Xenopus tropicalis: one gene and its partner. The protein of the gene in region 1 binds, or shares a complex with, the protein of each later gene. Links are inferred from orthologs where the notes say so. Each region holds a gene or a part of one and is shown in the gene's direction. Other genes may lie near its edges.

Region 1 (5,922 bases):
TAAACACTTTTTTATAGATTTACCTTTTCAGTGTGCTACTGGATTTTTTTACAATTGTATAATGATCCCTATACAAGGTAGGGCTCTTGCCGCAATTGCACCTGACAAGCTATTTGGGTATATAATCAGAGGGTTTAGCTCCCCAATAATAGCAATGCTCCCAGAGAAATAGGCAGATAATTAGGTCTCCCTGGGAGGAATATATACCAATACATTTTACTTAACATTTCTGGAAAGTATATGAAACCCTAGAAAGGGTAGCATTTCCCTCTTAAGAAGTGTCTAACTGTTTTGATTTTGTCTTCTTTGACTAAAATCATTATAGGGTGTAACAGCAGATGGATGGAGTTGTATTAAATGCCCCAATGGGCTGAACTCAAATGGGAATTGCCTCTGTCCTCCAGGAAACATTTTGGGTAAGTAGGATATTTTGCATTTTAATAAACTGGTGCCTACTTATCCATGCTCTTCTCCAATCCTGTGCTAAGGAGTTTGGTTGACTAAAATTGTAGGTAAAGTTCTCTAATTCCATCCATAAAAAAGATGCATATGCAGCTCCAGAATCCAACTGTACTGCTTGACAGTAGCTATAATGACACAACTTATTTTCATGGAAAAAACATTCAAATGTGCAGTCTTTCTCCGATGGAGATATATAAAGCCAGTGATGAGCTGTAAAAGCAGATTCTTGCACATCTACAGATACCCCATGTACCAGTCAAGATTAATTCAGTGGCTACATGCCAAGGTTTATGCAATCCCTTTCCAATAATGATAAAGTGTTCATTTCCAGAAGATGTGAACAGTTCCAGCGTTCCTTTTCCAGCTAGCATGTTGTGTCCCTCACATGGAGGCATACATGGACAGTTAAAATGCACTTGTCACAAAATCACAGGCAGAGTAATATAGCACATAATTTGTATTTTAGTGGAAAGAGATGTGAATGGCTCCTTGCTGTTAGAAGCAGAATGCATTGACTGCGATGGGACTGAACCTTCCTTCACTGCTGCCAACACCCTAGGAAACAGGTGAGTTTACTTAACCCATATTATTATCAAGAAGTCACAATGTTTTGCTGTCTGTATGATTTCCAGCTTGGTAAGTGGCAAAATGCTGTTAATTGACCCTTAATTGACTTTAATGGTAATCACTTGAAACCATTAAAGTGCACTTGTGGGTACTGTAGTTACTTGTGGGTACTAGCATGTGCAGTGTAAATGTGCTCTAAGAGGCATATTTTTACATTTCTTTGTGCTCTAGGCCCTGCCATGTTAAGTAAAGTGATGCCCAAACAGCTGAAAACAGTCTCAATAAAAATTGACTGTCTATAGAATGTTACAGCATTTGCCAGAATATACAGATTGCCATTGTGTATGTTTGTACCAGTGGTTTGCGCAGTTATTCTACCTGAGTTTGTGTATGTTTTCATTGCTCTAATATTTTGCTCTTTTTGTATGTCTAGGTGTGAACGGTGCCATCACACGGTTATCAACAGGAGTAACTCATGCAGCTGTAACCAGCCAAATATTATGGTAAGAAAGTCATTTAGGGTCATAGCGCAACTGTAACTAGCACTCACTATGTATTAGGGACTTGCCAAATTCAGGTTTCTGTTGAGAATTTGCAGAACCTCAACGCTTTTGCAAGATATTGTTAAATCCCAAGTGCCTGGCTAAACCAAAGCCTGACTGTTAGGCTGAGAGCACACAGAGCATTTGCTCCGCTGCTCTTAGCCTGCAGTTTTTTGCAGACTGAGAGAAGTGAATCTGATCCCTTACACACTTCAGTAAAAATTAATTGACAAGTTCAGCTTCTGCCTCCTCTTGGCTACACAAACTTTTCAAAGTAATAGGCTGTGCGAGAAGGGAGAGGTGAAGGGGGGCGATGGAGAGCAGTTGAGGGGGGCTTTTGTTCCTGGGGGGTTTAGTTCTTCTTTAAAGTCATATGACTTTAGAGCAGTGGGCAATTGAAGGTGACAACTTTCTTATGATGTAATTTTTTTGTGGATTTTGCTCAAATTTGAAAATGTGTCCAGTGAAAAATAGAAGCTCATGCAACATTTTTTTTATTTACTTACATATTTTCTAGACTGGAGGCATATGCTATAATGCAGCGGGGAGTATCCTGTCCAAAGCTCTTCTGACTGTTCATTACAGCCAACTGGTGAGACCCTATATTGTGTTGATGTGTTTGCTTGCAAATTTACATAAAGTAGGAAACCCTGAGAATGTATCTAACCTTTTTTCTTTAAGGGTTTGATATTGCGATCAGAATGGTTTGCCACGCATTTGCAAGCATCGGCTGCAGCTTGTCTGGTAAGATTCTCTTAAATAGCTTTTTTTCTAAAGCTGGCAAGGTTGTCAAACAATTGGATCTTTACTTGATTTGCCCAGTGAAATCGTGGGCCAAATAAGGATGATTTCATTTTTTTTAGTGCAAAGCAATTATCAGATTATAATGGGGCCCTGCAGTGATCTGTCTGGCAACAAGCCTTTATCTTTGTGATGTTTGGCCCTTGCTAGATACATTTGCTTTTTCGAAAATGTGAGTTTTGACAAATTTGGTTTTTTTACCCTTCTCCTGTTTCCCAGAAGAAGCTCATTGAGTCAGATCAGTGACTTTTTTTAATTGTTTCAATTTGATACATAAGTTGATAGTTACTTAGTAGCTGAACTCATGCTAAGCATAAAGCTTAGGTTTTAGAAAACGGATACAAATTAGAAAATGCAAACAAATGGCAAACGTAATTATTTGTGATACAGTGTTTTAATAAATGACTAGACATTTGTGGGTTTAGCGGAAAATAGTTTATTTGTGGTTTCAAAAACCTCTTAAACCACAAAAATAAAAACAAACACAAAAAAAAATCAATGTTGATAAATCTGCCCAAAGTGTTACATTAGATGTAAGACCTTCTACAAAATATAGTTTAACTGAATTGCAGAAGAGCTTGTAACATGGTGCCTTTATTTCTCTTCCGTCCATAGATGTACAGTAATCAAACATCATGCCAAGCTCTGGGGAACATGTGTGTCATGAACATGCATTCTACAAGTATTTCCAGTGCTGACGCTTGCGGTCTGTTCCAGTACATATTTACAAGCACAGCAGGTCTAGGAGTTATCCATTCCCTTTCATACTGGCAAGTGTGTTTTCTTTTTGTTGGTAGAAAAAAAAAAGCACTGCCCACTGGAAAATTTACAAGAGTAAATATCATGTCTTCTACAGGCGAACAAATCTGCCATGGCTCTTCTATGGTGACCAGCCTGGACTGGCTTCCAGGACTCTTGTGTCCTCTCCAGTTCCCACAAGCTATACTTTTAAAGAAAGTGAGGAGGTATGAAAAGGCCACCAAAATTGAGCTGGAGTGAGACACTGGCCCATTACAATGGAAAGCTGAACAGCTTGTTCTAATATTTATGCATGGATGGATTCTTTTGCAGCATTTGAATTACAAATGTATAAGTGATTCAACATTGGTTCTGTGGCACTTTTTGTATCATGGTGGCAATGTAGAAATATACCCTGTATGTGACAGTCCCAGGCAGCCCACAGATACAAATAGGAATCTGATGTGCTTCCTTCCTAGGTAGAAAATACCAAACTGCAGTTTCTAGCGGCTGTGTATGACGTTCGAGGGAATTTTATAAAATGGCAATCATTGGCTGGAGGACTACTGCAGGTATTTACATTTTTATTTTTATGAAAATTTATAGATCAAGAGATATGGGGCCGCAATGTAGTAGATGGTGACATGACACTTCAGAGAAGAACGTTATCATCATCAGTACAGAGCAGTACAATAGATATGTCAGCATTCTTATTCTGTGGTACTAAGCCCAGCTCTGCATTTAAATGTAAGGGAACTGTTCAGTAAGGGATACATTTCCCACCCCAAAACACCAAACTCACCCACTGCACAATTTTTTTTTTTCCTTGCAGTTGTGTCCTGATATTGTGGCCAGGATAGATGCTGCTTTCAGCTTTGGAACAACGTATAAACAAGAAGTAAGCATTAAATATATCTCTAAATACAAGAGCAAATAAATATCCTGTAAATTATATTCTTATAAATAGTACTTAATGATGTCATCAGCTACAATCGGTGCTTAGTGATGTAATTTCTCTCACACGACTCATTGGAACTTGTATATTCTGTGACTTCGGAAAGCCGAAGCGATGCATAAAAACAAAATAATCTATATGTGCTTCATAATTAACAATAATTGAAAGAAAAGGCAAATATATAACTTCATTAAGTTAAACGAGATTAGTCGCTGCCGCTAGAGGAGATTTATCCTCGTCTGTCATTGGCCTTAGTTGGCTTATGTTGAAAAAAAGTGTATTTAGGCATAGTGCCCCTTTAAGCAGTTTTATGTCCTGTTTGTTTAGTGAGATGTTTCTAATTAGGATCCAGCTGAAAGTAAAGAATAAGGAGCTGCCACTTTACCAATGTATCTTCTTTTGGAATGTACTGTAGCAATGGCTTTCAGTGGAAACCAGTTTGGACACCTAATCCTTATTTATACTTGCATGTACAGTACATTGCAACTGGGCAGTATGTGTATTTATGTGTGTGTGTTCCTGTGTGCCCACAAAGAGATACATAACTACACATACACACACAGTATATTTTGCTACCCGTGTTCACTTGGTCATATCATTCCTTTGCAGTGTAGAATTAGTGTTTCTAAGCTCCTGCGTGACCACCCCGAGCCTGTGTTCTATGATGTGTATCTGGCCTACCCAGGGAATGAGAAGCAGCAGAATCTCCTTCCTGTGCCAGTCCTGAACCTGAACCTCCAGTACCATGAAATGTTTGTTAACCAAGGTACATTCTATGGACATTTATATGATTGATGTATGTGATTATACATAAACCAGTTCAATTAGATGGGATCCCTTTAAAGGGATTTTGTCATGATTTTTATGGTGTACTTCTTATTTCTAATTACACTGTTTAAACTGCACATTTTAAAATATGTGTTGTATTTTTTAACCAGTATCAAAATTACATAATATGTAATTTAACAAGGTATAATTTTTTGATCCAAAATTAGCGGCTTACTGTCCCATGGGATGGTGTTGCTTAAAGCCAATGCAGTCCTGATGGTACTGCAGGATGTCTGTGATGCACCAGTGTTATAGACACAAAGATAGCCTAGCAGTCCACATTATACTAGCTTACAGCCAGTTATAGTGTTGATTTGACAACCCTTGGCAAACATTTTTATCACCAATATTACTGTTGTGTCAACCTTGCACTTTGTTTATTTGAATGTGTCTCATATTTTTACAAAAGGCTGGTGTTTTGCCACTTCTCTTTCGGTAGTAGGCAGATAAACAGCACTAGGAATTCCAAACAGTGACACTCTTGGGGGGGGTAGTGGAACTTTTAGTTCAGCTAGGGCTTCAGGTTGGGGCACTATTGGCGTAGAATTTTACTTCCCCTTCACTAAACATAATTTGTCTTGTTACAGGAGACAACATCAACAACTGGCTCTTGACTCGCCGAATCTTCCTGGTGGATACTATTAGTGGGCGAGAAAATTCTCTGGCCGATCCTCCAAGGCTCATTAGAGTGGCTAGCAAAATCACAATCAGGTAGAGTGTAAATTTTAGCACAATAGCACAAATTTTAGCACAAGTTTGTCATGTTATTGCGCATTACATTTTTATAAGCTTGAAGATAGTACAAGAGAGAGTATAAAAAAAAGTATTAGTATCATGGTTAATTTATTTGAATTATTGTTATTATGCTTTATTTGTAGAATGCTTACAAGTTTATGCAGGGCTTTACAGAGACTGCTTACTTATTGCAGAGCCAATTAATTAGCCTACTAACATTCAGACTCTTTTGGATAGTGCTTAGTTCAGAATCAAGATCAGGACACCAGTGTTGGAAGTACATTATTGAATCAA
Region 2 (6,543 bases), on another chromosome or scaffold:
CACCTTACTACTTCCCACTGGGGCCTAGTACTGATTCAGCTACTTCCCTCCCAGTACTCTCCCTTCTCTACTTCTTAGAGGTTTCTTTTCCAACCTCCCCCCCCCCCAGTACTCTCCCCTTACTACTTTCCACTGAGGTCTCTCTTTCAACTACTCCCCCCCAGTACACTCTCCTTACTACTTCCCACTGGGGCCTAGTACTGATTCAGCTACTCCCCCCCAGTACACTCTCCTTACTACTTCCCACTGGGGCCTAGTACTGATTCAGCTACTCCCCCCCCCAGTACACTCTCCTTACTACTTCCCACTGGGGCCTAGTACTGATTCAGCTACTCCCCCCCCAGTACACTCTCCTTACTACTTCCCACTGGGGCCTAGTACTGATCTAAGCACTTCTCTGCTGGTTTTTCTTTCACTGCCTTCCTCCCAGTGCGCTGCTGTTTCAGTATTTGCATTCCACTAGTTCAAGCTCCTCATCCTGCCGCTTACACTTAGTATCAACTTATTCCAACAGCTTCCTCCTTATAACTCTGTCCCCTGACTGCTTCATAGGAGAATCTTCTTCCATCAAAACCTCCTCAAGAAGAAGATCTTCATCTGCCATCTGATCTCCATCTGCTTCTCCCCACCATCTCCTTGATCCAACTGCTTCTTCCCTGAGAGACCTTCATCTCCTTCTTCCCACCATCTCCTTGATCCAACTGCTTCTTCCCTGAGAGACCTTCATCTCCTTCTTCCCACCATCTCCTTGATCCAACTGCTTCTTCCCTGAGAGACCTTCATCTCCTTCTTCCCACCATCTCCTTGATCCAACTGCTTCTTCCCTGAGAGACCTTCATCTCCTTCTTCCCACCATCTCCTTGATCCAACTGCTTCTTCCCCGAGAGACCTTGATCTCCTTCTTCCCACCATCTCCTTGATCCAACTGCTTCTTCCCTGAGAGACCTTCATCTCCTTCTTCCTACCATCTCCTTGATCCAACTGCTTCTTCCCTGAGAGACCTTCATCTGCTTCTCCCCACCATCTCCTTGATCCAACTGCTTCTTCCCTGAGAGACCTTCATCTGCTTCTTCCCACCATCTCCTTGATCCAACTGCTTCTTCCCAGAGAGACCTTCATCTGCTTCTCCCACGATCTCCTTGATCCAACGCTTCTTCCCTGAGAGACCTTCATCTGCTTCTCCCCAGTATCTCTTTCTATCGATCTATCAGTTTACCTTACTACACCTTCTCTCTCCCTCCTGCTGTTCTGATCAATCAGTAATCGGAACAATAGAAAGGCATTCGTAAGCCAGCCATACACGCACAGATGTTATCATCTCGTACAATATTCGGTGCGTGTATGGTGACTTGTAGAGGCGACCAATATCCCAGAGGCTGTGGATATCGGTTGAAGGCGCCATTGAAGGCGCCCGAGCAAAATCTACGTTCAGGGCTGAAGGAGGTAGAATTTCTATTGTTTCTACCTCCTTATCTGATGATTCAGCCCTGAACTTCAGCTACGTGTATGGCCACCTTTACTTGTATGCTCTCCATCCATTTGGCTTAGGGGCCACTCTTTGGAGAGCGTTCCAGATGGGCCAATGCCTGATTAGAAGATCTAGGCAGTTTGTTATACAGCCCTACACATTTTGGGGAGTGAAAGATAGCTATATCTGTGGGCCCCAGGGTCGGACTGGGGGGGGTGCAGGGCACACCAGGGCTCCCGCCCTAACCCCCCCAACCCCCCACAGGGTCCCCCACCCGACGTCCTCCCCTGAGCTCCCGTAAATTTAACGCCTCAGGGGAGGAACGGTCGGGCAGGGGGAGCGCCGGGATTTGTCCCGGTGTCCCAGCGGCCCAGTCCGACCCTGGTGGGCCCAGATAGTCAAGGGGTATGCACAGGGAGGTGCTGCTTCCCCCGCCCCCTGGAGGGTGGGAAAGAAACAATGTTTCAGGAGCCTAAACCACCTGTATAGAGGATATATAAATCCCTTGTGTAACTTCCCATGCAGTTAATTCCCTCACTGTGGGAAGTAAAGTCATAATGACGTCATTATACCCAGTAATATTCCCAGGGTGCATCAGGCCTGTAGTAAGAAGGTAGCGTGGCCGAGCGGTCTAAGGCGCTGGATTTAGGCTCCAGTCTCTCTGGAGGCGTGGGTTCGAATCCCACCGCTGCCAACTCAGCTTTTTATTTTCCCCCCTGCATCTATGGCTTGATATATTTTCGCTCGAACTGTAACTTCTTTTCGATTAGCCGCCATTGTGGAGGCTTTGCATCTATATATATGTTAGTTTGGGACAGGTTTCATAATCAGGGATGTGTCGTCGCTTTTACGACAAAGCGCTAAAACTTCCAGCTACAATAATGGCGGACTTGCCTTCTGCCCCATGTGACCGGGGCTCAGTAGGTGAATGGTCAGAATCTCCTGAATCCTGCGCGTTTTGGTTAGGACGCTGAGGGGTTGCTAGGCAACGGTAAGCGGCGGGTTTTCGGCTCGGAGATTGGAACGGGTAAGGGTTTTGTTCCAGTAAGTTACTGGTTTAACTGGTCTCTGCCCGGGGAATACTTTGTATGTGAGATATTTAATGGTTAATTTATACAGTATAAGTAGCTATAAAAGTCTGTATATATTATATGAGAGGGTTGCCGGCCTGTATATACAGTAATAGGAGTCAGGGAAGCCTGTATATATTATATGAGAGGGTTGCCGGCCTGTATATACAGTAATAGGAGTCAGGGAAGCCTGTATATATTATATGAGAGGGTTGCCGGCATGTATATACAGTAATAGGAGTCAGGGAAGCCTGTATATATTATATGAGAGGGTTGCCGGCATGTATATACAGTAATAGGAGTCAGGGAAGCCTGTATATATTATATGAGAGGGTTGCCGGCCTGTATATACAGTAATAGGGGTCAGGGAAGCCTGTATATATTATATGAGAGGGTTGCCGGCATGTATATACAGTAATAGGAGTCAGGGAAGCCTGTATATATTATATGAGAGGGTTACCGGCCTGTATATACAGTAATAGGAGTCAGGGAAGCCTGTATATATTATATGAGAGGGTTGCCGGCCTGTATATACAGTAATAGGAGTCAGGGAAGCCTGTATATATTATATGAGAGGGTTACCCGCCTGTATATACAGTAATAGGAGTCAGGGAAGCCTGTATATATTATATGAGAGGGTTGCCGGCCTGTATATACTGTAATAGGAGTCAGGGAAGCCTGGATATATTATATGAGAGGGTTGCCGGCCTGTATATACAGTAATAGGAGTCAGGGAAGCCTGGATATATTATATGAGAGGGTTACCGGCCTGTATATACAGTAATAGGAGTCAGGGAAGCCTGGATATATTATATGAGAGGGTTACCGGCCTGTATATACAGTAATAGGAGTCAGGGAAGCCTGTATATATTATATGAGAGGGTTACCGGCCTGTATATACAGTAATAGGAGTCAGGGAAGCCTGTATATATTATATGAGAGGGTTACCGGCCTGTATATACAGTAATAGGAGTCAGGGAAGCCTGTATATATTATATGAGAGGGTTGCCGGCCTGTATATACAGTAATAGGAGTCAGGGAAGCCTGTATATATTATATGAGAGGGTTACCGGCCTGTATATACAGTAATAGGAGTCAGGGAAGCCTGTATATATTATATGAGAGGGTTGCCGGCCTGTATATACAGTAATAGGAGTCAGGGAAGCCTGGATATATTATATGAGAGGGTTACCGGCCTGTATATACAGTAATAGGAGTCAGGGAAGCCTGTATATATTATATGAGAGGGTCCCTGGCCTGTATATACAGTAATAGGAGTCAGGGAAGCCTGTATATATTATATGAGAGGGTTGCCGGCCTGTATATACAGTAATAGGGGTCAGGGAAGCCTGTATATATTATATGAGAGGGTTGCCGGCATGTATATACAGTAATAGGAGTCAGGGAAGCCTGTATATATTATATGAGAGGGTTACCGGCCTGTATATACAGTAATAGGAGTCAGGGAAGCCTGTATATATTATATGAGAGGGTCCCTGGCCTGTATATACAGTAATAGGAGTCAGGGAAGCCTGTATATATTATATGAGAGGGTTGCCGGCCTGTATATACAGTAATAGGGGTCAGGGAAGCCTGTATATATTATATGAGAGGGTTGCCGGCATGTATATACAGTAATAGGAGTCAGGGAAGCCTGTATATATTATATGAGAGGGTTACCGGCCTGTATATACAGTAATAGGAGTCAGGGAAGCCTGGATATATTATATGAGAGGGTTGCCGGCCTGTATATACAGTAATAGGAGTCAGGGAAGCCTGTATATATTATATGAGAGGGTTACCCGCCTGTATATACAGTAATAGGAGTCAGGGAAGCCTGTATATATTATATGAGAGGGTTGCCGGCCTGTATATACTGTAATAGGAGTCAGGGAAGCCTGGATATATTATATGAGAGGGTTGCCGGCCTGTATATACAGTAATAGGAGTCAGGGAAGCCTGGATATATTATATGAGAGGGTTACCGGCCTGTATATACAGTAATAGGAGTCAGGGAAGCCTGTATATATTATATGAGAGGGTTACCGGCCTGTATATACAGTAATAGGAGTCAGGGAAGCCTGTATATATTATATGAGAAGGTTGCCGGCCTGTATATACAGTAATAGGAGTCAGGGAAGCCTGTATATATTATATGAGAGGGTTACCGGCCTGTATATACAGTAATAGGAGTCAGGGAAGCCTGTATATATTATAAGAGAGGGTTGCCGGCCTGTATATACAGTAATAGGAGTCAGGGAAGCCTGGATATATTATATGAGAGGGTTACCGGCCTGTATATACAGTAATAGGAGTCAGGGAAGCCTGTATATATTATATGAGAGGGTCCCTGGCCTGTATATACAGTAATAGGAGTCAGGGAAGCCTGTATATATTATATGAGAGGGTTGCCGGCCTGTATATACAGTAATAGGGGTCAGGGAAGCCTGTATATATTATATGAGAGGGTCCCTGGCCTGTATTTACAGTAATAGGAGTCAGGGAAGCCTGTATATATTATATGAGAGGGTTACCGGCCTGTATATACAGTAATAGGAGTCAGGGAAGCCTGGATATATTATATGAGAGGGTCCCTGGCCTGTATATACAGTAATAGGAGTCAGGGAAGCCTGTATATATTATATGAGAGGGTTACCGGCCTGTATATACAGTAATAGGAGTCAGGGAAGCCTGTATATATTATATGAGAGGGTCCCTGGCCTGTATATACAGTAATAGGAGTCAGGGAAGCCTGTATATATTATATGAGAGGGTCCCTGGCCTGTATATACAGTAATAGGAGTCAGGGAAGCCTGGATATATTATATGAGAGGGTTACCGGCCTGTATATACAGTAATAGGAGTCAGGGAAGCCTGGATATATTATATGAGAGGGTCCCTGGCCTGTATATACAGTAATAGGAGTCAGGGAAGCCTGTATATATTATATGAGAGGGTCCCTGGCCTGTATATACAGTAATAGGAGTCAGGGAAGCCTGTATATATTATATGAGAGGGTCCCTGGCCTGTATATACAGTAATAGGAGTCAGGGAAGCCTGTATATATTATATGAGAGGGTTACCGGCCTGTATATACAGTAATAGGAGTCAGGGAAGCCTGTATATATTATATGAGAGGGTTACCGGCCTGTATATACAGTAATAGGAGTCAGGGAAGCCTGGATATATTATATGAGAGGGTCCCTGGCCTGTATATACAGTAATAGGAGTCAGGGAAGCCTGTATATATTATATGAGAGGGTTACCGGCCTGTATATACAGTAATAGGAGTCAGGGAAGCCTGTATATATTATATGAGAGGGTCCCTGGCCTGTATATACAGTAATAGGAGTCAGGGAAGCCTGTATATATTATATGAGAGGGTCCCTGGCCTGTATATACAGTAATAGGAGTCAGGGAAGCCTGGATATATTATATGAGAGGGTTACCGGCCTGTATATACAGTAATAGGAGTCAGGGAAGCCTGGATATATTATATGAGAGGGTCCCTGGCCTGTATATACAGTAATAGGAGTCAGGGAAGCCTGGATATATTATATGAGAGGGTTGCCGGCCTGTATATACAGTAATAGGAGTCAGGGAAGCCTGTATATATTATATGAGAGGGTTGCCGGCCTGTATATACAGTAATAGGAGTCAGGGAAGCCTGGATATATTATATGAGAGGGTCCCTGGCCTGTATATACAGTAATAGGAGTCAGGGAAGCCTGGATATATTATATGAGAGGGTCCCTGGCCTGTATATACAGTAATAGGAGTTAGGGAAGCCTGGATATATTATATGAGAGGGTTACCGGCCTGTATATACAGTAATAGGAGTCAGGGAAGCCTGGATATATTATATGAGAGGGTTGCCGGCCTGTATATACAGTAATAGGAGTCAGGGAAGCCTGTATATATTATATGAGAGGGTTACTGGCCTGTATATACAGTAATAGGAGTCAGGGAAGCCTGGATATATTATATGAGAGGGTTACCGGCCTG

What was found. The genes of interacting proteins can lie anywhere in the genome.
Region 2: tmem67 (region 1) and tmem107 share a complex: the UniProt entries of both Homo sapiens proteins name them as parts of the tectonic-like complex. The link is inferred for Xenopus tropicalis from reciprocal best matches to the Homo sapiens genes TMEM67 and TMEM107.

The regions. Positions count from the first base shown.
Region 1 is NC_030682.2:127,745,826-127,751,747, forward strand, and holds part of tmem67 (meckelin), read left to right. Parts: intron 1-325; coding exon 326-416; intron 417-928; coding exon 929-1,028; intron 1,029-1,462; coding exon 1,463-1,532; intron 1,533-2,088; coding exon 2,089-2,163; intron 2,164-2,252; coding exon 2,253-2,315; intron 2,316-2,987; coding exon 2,988-3,142; intron 3,143-3,228; coding exon 3,229-3,337; intron 3,338-3,589; coding exon 3,590-3,682; intron 3,683-3,942; coding exon 3,943-4,008; intron 4,009-4,674; coding exon 4,675-4,831; intron 4,832-5,480; coding exon 5,481-5,604; intron 5,605-5,922. UniProt on the Homo sapiens protein: Required for ciliary structure and function. Part of the tectonic-like complex which is required for tissue-specific ciliogenesis and may regulate ciliary membrane composition.
Region 2 is NC_030679.2:144,534,547-144,541,089, reverse strand, and holds the start of tmem107 (transmembrane protein 107), read left to right. Parts: upstream 1-2,388; 5' UTR 2,389-2,495; exon of another isoform or gene 2,496-2,512; intron 2,513-6,543. UniProt on the Homo sapiens protein: Plays a role in cilia formation and embryonic patterning. Requires for normal Sonic hedgehog (Shh) signaling in the neural tube and acts in combination with GLI2 and GLI3 to pattern ventral and intermediate neuronal cell types.